Xenopus tropicalis: one gene and its partner. The protein of the gene in region 2 purifies or fractionates together with the protein of the main gene of each other region. This does not show direct contact. Links are inferred from orthologs where the notes say so. Each region holds a gene or a part of one and is shown on either strand. Other genes may lie near its edges.

Region 1 (5,229 bases), on a different chromosome or scaffold from region 2:
ACATACTTTGGACCACTGAGCAACAGTCCAGTGCTGCTTCTCTGTAGCCCAGGTCAGGCGCTTCTGCCGCTGTTTCTGGTTCAAAAGTGGCTTGACCTGGGGAATGCGGCACCTGTAGCCCATTTCCTGCACGCGCCTGTACACGGTGGCTCTGGATGTTTCTACTCCAGACTCAGTCCACTGCTTCCGCAGGTCCCCCAAGGGCTGGAATCGGTCCTTCTCCACAATCTTCCTCAGTGCCCAGTCACCTCTTCTCGTTGTGCAGCGTTTTCTGCCACACTTTTTCCTTCCCACAGACTTCCCACTGAGGTGCCTTGATACAGCACTCTGGGAACAGCCTATTTGTTCAGAAATTTCTTTTTGTGTCTTACCCTCTTGCTTGAGGGTGTCAATGATGGCCTTCTGGACAGCAGTCAGGTCGGCAGTCTTACCCATGATTGCGGTTTTGAGTAATGAACCAGGCTGGGAGTTTTTAAAAGCCTCAGGAATCTTTTGCAGGTTTTTAGAGTTAATTTGTTGATTCAGATGATTAGGTTAATAGCTCATTTAGAGAACCTTTTCATGATATGCTAATTTTTTGAGATAGGAATTTTGGGTTTTCATGAGCTGTATGCCACAATCATCAATATTAAAACAAGAAAAGGCTTGAACTACTTCAGTTGTGTGTAATGAATCTAAAATATATGAAAGTCTAATGTTTATCAGTACATTACAGAAAATAATGAACTTTATCACAATATGCTAATTTTTTGAAAAGGACCTGTATGTTTTCACCCTAAATGAGAAATAAGCTCTTGCTGGCTGCTCTCCTGACCCAATGGTAAGGGAGATCAGCCAGCAATCAAGATCAAACCCCATCAGAGCCTTAAGGTCCCCATATACGGCCAATCTGGCCACATCGCCAAGCGAGCTGATCTTCTCCCGATATCCCCACCTACGGGTGGGCAATATCGTCAGAATCCAGGAGATTTCAGGCCAGATATTGGTCGGGCAGGCCTGTCAGCAGTGCCCATACACGGGCCGATTAGCTGCCGAATCGGTCTAAGGGACCGATATCGGCAGCTAGTATCGGCCCGTGTATGGGGACCTTTACATGGCCCTTGTTCTGTCACTAAAATGCACAAAAACCCCCACTGAGACCCTCTGAAAAAACTCAAGAGTACCCTTGGTTGGTTTCACCTATTGTTTTCTCTTAAAATAGCCATTTCTTATCCCTAAATTGTGAAAAATCAGGTCTTTGATTTCACATAAATTAAAAAAAAAAAGATTTGGTTCAATTTCACCCATTGTCTTCTCCTGAATTCAGAAAATCTGGCCCTTTTTTGTACAAAATACTGTGGCACCTGTAGACTACAAAATACTAAAGAAGACTTAATGTGGTCTGGCTTTTTTTTTTGTTCAACCAAGAACAGGCATGGATTGGCAATGTGTGGATTCTGGCAAATAACAGATGGGCTGATGTAAGATGCCATAGCAACCATTATTTATTGGGCTGAAGGGGGGCTGTTTGGGCTCCTGTGTATTTGAAACGCCACAGCCTGTTTCTTTATCCCAGTATGGATCTGAAGAAGAGGCTCCATGTGGCAGGAATTGTTGGCACAAGTTGAACCTATAACTGTGAGCACTTATCTTCCCCTGCAAAAGTAGAAACTGAACAAAACACAAATGCCTTTTGATAAACTGTTGGGAGCAAAGACTCTGTTAGCAGCTCTTTGGCTATTGCCTGCACCATCAAAAAAAAAAAGTGGTACAAGTGTTCAAGACAGCAAATAAACAATGAATTATTAGTTCTAGACAAACTATGGCAGGGGTGGCTCTTTAGAGCAGAGACATTTTAAAATTGTTAATGAACGTCCGCAGAATGCCACGCACATCCATCGCCTCTTGGCAGCACCTACCCTTCTGCAACATCAACGTAACGAATCCTGTCACTCTCCAAAGCTCCTAACCGCAGCGTCACTGTTAGACGTCACAGTCTCGCGAGAAGAGACTTGTTCCGTTTGTTGCCGTTCAGCTGGAGCGAAGGAAGCTTTTGGTGCCGCCGGACTTTTCCGGGACTGTTGGGCGTCATGCAGTTGTCAGTGGTTGATCCAACTTGGGAACTTCTGGACCCAAACCCTGATATTCGTGCATTATTTCTGGAGTTCAATGACACTTTTTTCTGGGGACAGTTGTCTGGTATAGAAGTAAAGTGGAGCGCAAGGATGACGCTGTAAGTCAGTTTTATTTGTTTCCCACTTAAATTATTTATTTCTGAATCGATATGTATTTTCTTACTATCTTAGCTAATAGCAGCTGCTGTTATTGCACCACATAGCAAAGTAATTTTAGTTTTGCAGTTAGTTAGACAACCCTGGGCAGTATTTTACTGACCTGGCTGATAAATGTGATGCTTGCTGCCAATGGTATAAATATGGAAAGACCTATTTTTTCCAGAAAAGGTGGCAACCCTAGTGGCAACAGCATAGAGTTTACAATCTAAATGGTATTCTATATGGGGCACAGACCTACTTCCTCCCCAGTCTGTAGAGCTGGCCATATACTCACCGATGATATCGTATGAAACCTAGTTATGTACGATATTCAGTGCGTGAATGGCAGCTCCACGAGGTGACCCAAAAGGCTGCGGATATCGGTCGACTCAGCGATCGGCCAAGTTAAAAGATTTTGTTTGGACGCCATTAAACGCACCCGAGCAAAATCTACGTTCAAGCCTGAATCGGCAGAAGGAGGTTGAATTTCTATTGATTCTACCTCCATATCTGACGATTCAGATTTGAATCGCCAGATATGGTTGCTACGTGTATTGCCACCCTTAGTAGATGGCACTTAATCCTTGAAACATTTATTGCAGTGTCTACCCTCTCTGTGTTTTTACTGTATTGTAAAAAAATATGCTGCTTCGTGCACTAGTAAGGCTGTAGGTCTTGTATCATGTATTATTGTATCATGAATGAATGCTAGGATGAATGAATGCATTCTTCTGTAGAAACATGTTTGTTTAAATTCAGAGAGATTGGGAGACTCTGGTTGAATGGATGGCAGTAGAATAAGTTCCAGGCAATGGTTATGGTAAAGTCATCAGTGATGGATGGGGGTGTCACAGTCTAGGGAATATGACATTCAAGTAGCAAAATTAGGGATGCACCAAATCCAGGTTTGATATTCAGCCCTTTCGGTTTGATATTCAGCCCTTTTTGGCAGGGTTCTGGCTGAACTGAATCCTAATTAGCAGAAATTAGAATATGCTATTTAGCACGTGGAAGGGTTAAATGTTAGGGGGAAAAATTTTCGCCGCTCATGTAGCGTGCCCTGTTTTTTAACCCTTACCTATCCTAATTAACGTATGCTAATTCAGATTTGGTTCGGTATTCGCCCGAATCTGTTGGGGTTGGTTCGGCTGAACTCAAAAAAGTGGGTTTGGTGCATCCCTAAGCAAAACTGACAAAAAAAATGTCAAGTGCAGCACCGTGCAGCAGTACATGAGGAAAGACCCAGATAAAGTGAACTTTAAAGGGGGAAACTGACTGTAGTACTTAATGTGGGGGGTAATATTCCCCACCCCTAACCCTGATGTGTAGCCCCCTCCATGTGATGGGGCAATTGCAGTGTTTTCCCCAGGTGGTTTTTGACAGTCATCACTTTTCATCTATTTTCTTTTTTTACTTGGCCGCCAAACTCTGCTTCCTTTCCCACCTCTCGTGCTATAGTATCAAAAAAACATTTTTTTATTAAACTTAGCATCATTTTTATTTGCCTGGACTGAAGCATGGCAGGGGGCATAATCATTAGGAAGAGGTGGGGCTGGCACAACATTTATTTCCCTCATTCTGCACCACTGTATTTTCTTCTGGGAACAAGTAAGGCAGACAAGTTTCCCTTATGGCAAGTTGAAGGAACATGCTGTTCGGTTTTCCAGGGTGCACAAAAAGGTACAGTGGCTTAAGGAACAAGGTTTTATTATGCAGATAGTTATATGGGTGGAAAACATGGCTGCGACAGAGCAGAGACTGGGTAAAGACCAGAACAGGGGAATGTTTCCAGCTGCCATTCATAAGAAGGAGAGGTAAAACCGGTTAGAGTGTAATTTTTAGATTCTCTGTGAATAAGAGGAGGTCAGCAGAATTTTGCATTTCAGTTGCAGTTAGTGATTTATTCACTCTTTGTCACTTTTGGGGGCATTTCCTGTGGGAAATGATTAGTTAAAGGAACAGTAACACCAAACAATGAAAATGTTTAAAAGTAATTAAAAAATAATGTACTGTTGCCCTGCACTGGTAAAAATTTTGTGTTTGCTTCAGAAACAGTACTACAGTTTATACAAACAAAGCTGCTGTATATCCATGGGGGGCAGCTGGAAAAAAAGCACAGGTTACATAGTAGATAAAATACCACTGTATTTCCCAGAGCTTATCTGTTAACTTCTATGTAACCTGTGCCTTTTCTCGTTTTTTTTGTCTGGCCCATGAGCACACAGCAGCGTTGTTTATATAAACTATACCATAGCCAGCAAAATATGTTTTTCCTTAGAGGGAAAGTGTGTGTTGTGTGTACAACTCCCCCCAAAAATGTGTGTGGGTTTGTGTTTTAGAGTGTGTATGACGCTAAACCTGGGTACAGTTAGTTATACAAATGTCTTTGCCCTTATTTTGTCATATCAACATCCAGAGTTTACACCACTTTTTACTCTGCATTTTGTTATAATATAAGCCTATTTGAGTATTTCAACATTATTTATATTTGTCTTTCTTGAAAAAGATGTGCTGGAGTCTGCAGTTATGAAGGGAGAGGCGGATTATGTTCTATTCGACTTAGTGAGCCCCTTTTGAAGTTAAGACCAAGGAAAGATCTAGTACAGGTAAGTTTAATATGGTGATGTTTTTACCCTTTTCACTTCCAACAGAAATACACACCTTTGGTATGTATATATTAAAAATGTTGTGCTCTTTTAATTTAGGGACATTTTCTAGGGGGGGACTTGTTGTTTTCTATATATTGTTTTTTCAGGGACAACCTACGCTTTTAAAATATGCAAAATTTTTGTGTAATTTCAATACTGGAACAACAAATAGGATAAATGCCTAAAAAATGGCAATCATATTTCCTTAAAGGAAAGGCTAATAAAGAGTTAATCCTGAATGGGAAAAATTCGGATTGGAAATGAAAATTTCTGAAGATCGCAAATATCCCGAAAATGCTTACGAAAAAATCGTATTAGTCACGATAATA
Region 2 (4,510 bases):
ATATCCCCCCCCCCTCACCCCCAGCAGCCGATCAGCAGAACAATGGGAAGGGAGCAAGATAGCAGCTCCCAGTAGGTATCAGAATAGCACTCAATAGTAAGAAATCCAAGTCCGGCTTGGGACTCCTCCAGTTACATGGGAGTAGGAGAAACAATAGGTTAGCTGAAAGCAGTTCTAATGTGTAGCGCTGGCTGAAAGCTCAGACTCAGGCACACTTTACTGCTGCGCTGCAAGTTGGAGTGATATCCCCCCCCCCTCACCCCCAGCAGCCGATCAGCAGAACAATGGGAAGGGAGCAAGATAGCAGCTCCCAGTAGGTATCAGAATAGCACTCAATAGTAAGAAATCCAAGTCCGGCTTGGGACTCCTCCAGTTACATGGGAGTAGGAGAAACAATAGGTTAGCTGAAAGCAGTTCTAATGTGTAGCGCTGGCTGAAAGCTCAGACTCAGGCACACTTTACTGCTGCGCTGCAAGTTGGAATGATATCCCCCCCCTCACCCCCAGCAGCCGATCAGCAGAACAATGGGAAGGGAGCAAGATAGCAGCTCCCAGTAGGTATCAGAATAGCACTCAATAGTAAGAAATCCAAGTCTGGCTTGGGACTCCTCCAGTTACATGGGAGTAGGAGAAACAATATGTTACAATATGTATATTGGGGGGGGGGGGGTTTAAGGGGGTAACAACCCCCTGCATTATCATATCCTGCATATATCTCTGTGCTGAGCCCCTGGGGGTGTCTCTCTCACGTACCTGTGCCCCCGCAGGATGCTGTACGACTACGTGACAAGGAAGCGGAAGGAAAATGGCAACGCACAGGTGCACGTTACTTACCTGGTGACCGGGAAATGTCTGCAGGACGGTTACCCTGTGAGTATGGGCAGCGCGTGTAATGGGCGGGTATTGGCCACTCCCCCTCTCACTGGCACAGAGATCTTTGGGGTTCAAGCCCTACTTTTCTATCTGCTTTTGGGTCAGGAGACCGTGATTATGTGGAAGTGTTCTCATTGGGCCGCAGGTATTGGAATATTTTTCTTCCAAATTTTTGCAGCTTTCAAATGGGGGTCACTGACCCCGGCAGCCAAACCCTATTGCTCTGTGAGGCTCCAGTTTTATTGTTATTGTTACTTTTTATTCCTTATCTTTCTATTCAGCCCCTCCCCTATTCATATACCAGTCTCTCATTCAAACCACTTCCTGGTTGCTAAGGTAATTCGGACCCTAGCAACCAGATAGCTGCTGAAACTCCAAACTGGAGAGCTGCTGAATTAAATTGAAATAACTACACGTAATAAAAAATGTAGACCAATTGCAAATCGTCTTAGGATATTACTCTCTACATCCTACTAACAGTTAATGCAGGTGAAAAACCCCTTTAAAATTGTGACTTTTCATCACTTGAACACGTGAGCTGACAATCTGTCTCCGCTCTCTGCGCATTAACCCCTTTGTGACCTAATTTGGATTTGTTTTGGGATTTGGCCAAATCTTTCAGGCAGGATTTGGTGTTTGGGCAAATTCCCACATAGTGGATTCAGTTCAGGGCGCAGTGTCCTAGTTACCCAGTCCCTAGTGGGCAGTTTTGTTCACTCCCCGCCCCTGTAAGTGACCAATGGCCAAGTCTGGGCCCCGACACAACAAAAAGTCTACGTAGAACATATATCCCACAGCGCCTGGAGAGCCGGACTGATCGGGAACGTTCAATAAATCTAGGCCAAGTGTGTCATTTCCTGTTCCAGTGCTGTTATTCGCTGTCGCTGGTGCATTGTGGGATTGCGGCTAACGCTCTGCCTTTTCCTCTTTCAGTTTCACAAAGTGGCCGTAGTGAAGGAGGAGAAGCTTGCAGGTAAGTGGGTATCAGTTTCAGCCTCGGGCCTACAGCTAAACCCCACTTGTTAGGCCGGGGCTGGCAGTCGGGTCATAATGGGGCCTGTGCAGTCCTACAGGATGTTACCCCCCCCCCATAAGGGCAGCCAAACTGATCCCAAAGTTCAGCCTAAATCCTTATTGTTTTTTCTCTCTGTCCCACAGCCACTAAGTCTAAGCTTGCGGAGGTTGCCAGCGTCCATGTGTATAGCATCCAGAAAGCGGCTCTGAAGGACTGCGCTCCCCTCTTCAACACTGACTATGATATCATCAAGAACAACCTGCACAACTGCAACAAGTACGTGTGTCCTCTCCCCGGGGCTACAGATACATAGAAACATTGGGGTAACTCACCCTGCTATAGTTCCAGGGGTACCCAGGGCACAAATAAGCACTCACCCCAAATCCCCCCCTAACTGGCCTTCAGGCTGGGCCCCCTTAGCCCATAACAAGGTTACAGATATATAGAAACATTGGGGTAACAGTCACCCCGCTATAGTTCCAGGGGTACCCAGGGCACAAATAAGCACTCACCCCAAATCCCCCCCTAACTGGCCTTCAGGCTGGGCCCCCTTAGCCCATAACAAGGTTACAGATATATAGAAACATTGGGGTAACAGTCACCCCGCTATAGTTCCAGGGGTACCCAGGGCACAAATAAGCACTCACCCCAAATCCCCCCCTAACTGGCCTTCAGGCTGGGCCCCCTTAGCCCATAACAAGGTTACAGATATATAGAAACATTGGGGTAACAGTCACCCTGCTATAGTTCCAGGGGTACCCATGAATGCTTAGGGGTACAGGGGTGTATCTGCCCCTGGGGGGGGTATATACAGACAGGTATACAGTCGGTTTCCCATTGAATCCCTATGTGCCTGTAGGTTTAGTGCCATTCAGTGCCCAGAGGCCGTGCCCAGGTCCCCAGAGGAAATCTCCCAGCTCCTAAAAGCAAACGCCCAACCAACCGGAGAAGCAAATGTTACAGCGAAACCTGCAATCAACGGGCACATTGCTGCCCCCGCCCCAAAGCCCACATCCAAGCAGCCTAAAGGCATTATGGGAATGTTTTCCCAACAAGCTGTCAAACAGCAGGAAACGCAGAAGGAAAGCAAAGCCGATGCCAAGGAACCAGCAGTAAGTTCTCTCTGATATGTCTGTGCTGCTTGTGCTCTCAATCTTCTATGTGCAATTGCCTGTGTACTTATACTGCTAGGGGTGCTAGCACCCATAACTTACTTATGCCCTGAGCTATCAGGGTGTGCAGCCAATAGAAACAATTGGATCTGGTATTTGGGGGGAGAAGATGCTGCACTGTGGGGTTATTGCATTTAAAATATTCACTATCATACTGCATAAAGGGCAAATAAACCCGTTTGTTCCAGCAATATTTGGATCAGATAGGATCCTTGGTATCCAGGCAGACTTAATTCAAATGTCAATGTCGCCAAGCAACCTAAGGCACAAAATTTATTGATCATATTATTTTGTTGCTGCTCTGAAATCTGAATATTCCAATAATAGTTCTTTTCAGAATCTTTTGGAATCAATAAAGGTACAGCAGCTGCAGTTCCCAAAATGGACAGCAGGGGTCATCCAAACCGCACTATATTGCATAGACTGGCACTATACCGGTAGTTACTCATTGAGCAATAATAAGGTTATTTAGATATAAAATAGCGCAACAGTACAAGACGGGGCCCCCATGCATATAACATAGAGCATTAAGCTAGAGCCTTGAGTTTTAGTTCTACTTTAAAGGGGATACAAACCCTGCTGCCCAGCGCGGCTCAACCCAACGTTACTCAGTTGTTACTGGGCTACAAATCCCACAATAATGTAACATATAATGAAGCTTGGGGCATGCTGGGAGCTGTAGTCCAGCAACATCAGGGCTGTATTCTTAAAGCAATATTGCCCAATAAAACTTTCCCCCAAATCCCCACAGCCAGCGACTGCTTTAACATGCGAAAAATCCTCCAATGAGAATCCCAGCTGATGTGAGTAAATCCGGCTCCCTGTTCTCTGTTCCTGCAATTGGAGTTGGGAGCAATAAGCACAGTTTCCCAGCACTGAACAAGTCTGTCCCTTTATCCCCATGTCTGATTCCTGTGCCATATAATGAGGGGAGAAAATGCCATCATTATCTCTATATGTAAGGTACCAGCAAGGGGCCTGACACAGTGCTGGGAATCAGCATTCTCACTGGGCAGTTCTTTTGCATTTATAATCAACTTATTTATCAGTACAATTCTCATTGGGGAATTTCCTTGCATCTATAATGATGGTTTTTGGCAGCTTCTATAGCAACACTAGGGGGCGCCGTGGGGCAGAGTCATGGCTGGGTTTACTTAGCCTTTAAGCTGAAAGTCTGATTTCGGACGCCCCGTTTTACCTGCTGAACTCTCTCCCCGTGTAGGCGACGGCATCGAGTGGCAAAGCCCCTGCCAAGGCGCAGACTGTGAACAACTTCTTTGGGAAAGCGGCTTCATTAAGTGAGTTGGGATCCACGTGCTAGGCCACACGTAGGCAAGTTATGGCAGAACTACAACTCTCACATCTGACAGTGCAGTGCTGGAAGTTGTAGTTCTGCGTCAGAAGAGAATGAATGTTTCCTTAACCCTTTAATAAGCTCTCCAGCACTAATT

What was found.
Region 1: the proteins of pold3 (region 2) and sprtn purify together in Homo sapiens (affinity purification with mass spectrometry; 3 studies listed by BioGRID, with this or other methods). This does not show direct contact. The link is inferred for Xenopus tropicalis from reciprocal best matches to the Homo sapiens genes POLD3 and SPRTN.

The regions. Positions count from the first base shown.
Region 1 is NC_030681.2:57,897,993-57,903,221, reverse strand, and holds the start of sprtn (sprT-like domain-containing protein Spartan), read left to right. Parts: upstream 1-2,059; 5' UTR 2,060-2,069; coding exon 2,070-2,212; intron 2,213-4,758; coding exon 4,759-4,858; intron 4,859-5,229. UniProt on the Homo sapiens protein: DNA-dependent metalloendopeptidase that mediates the proteolytic cleavage of covalent DNA-protein cross-links (DPCs) during DNA synthesis, thereby playing a key role in maintaining genomic integrity.
Region 2 is NC_030678.2:175,001,470-175,005,979, forward strand, and holds part of pold3 (DNA polymerase delta subunit 3), read left to right. Parts: intron 1-766; coding exon 767-869; intron 870-1,805; coding exon 1,806-1,845; intron 1,846-2,030; coding exon 2,031-2,163; intron 2,164-2,746; coding exon 2,747-2,969; coding exon of another isoform or gene 2,970-2,999; intron 3,000-4,281; coding exon of another isoform or gene 4,282-4,357; intron 4,358-4,510. UniProt on the Homo sapiens protein: Accessory component of both the DNA polymerase delta complex and the DNA polymerase zeta complex.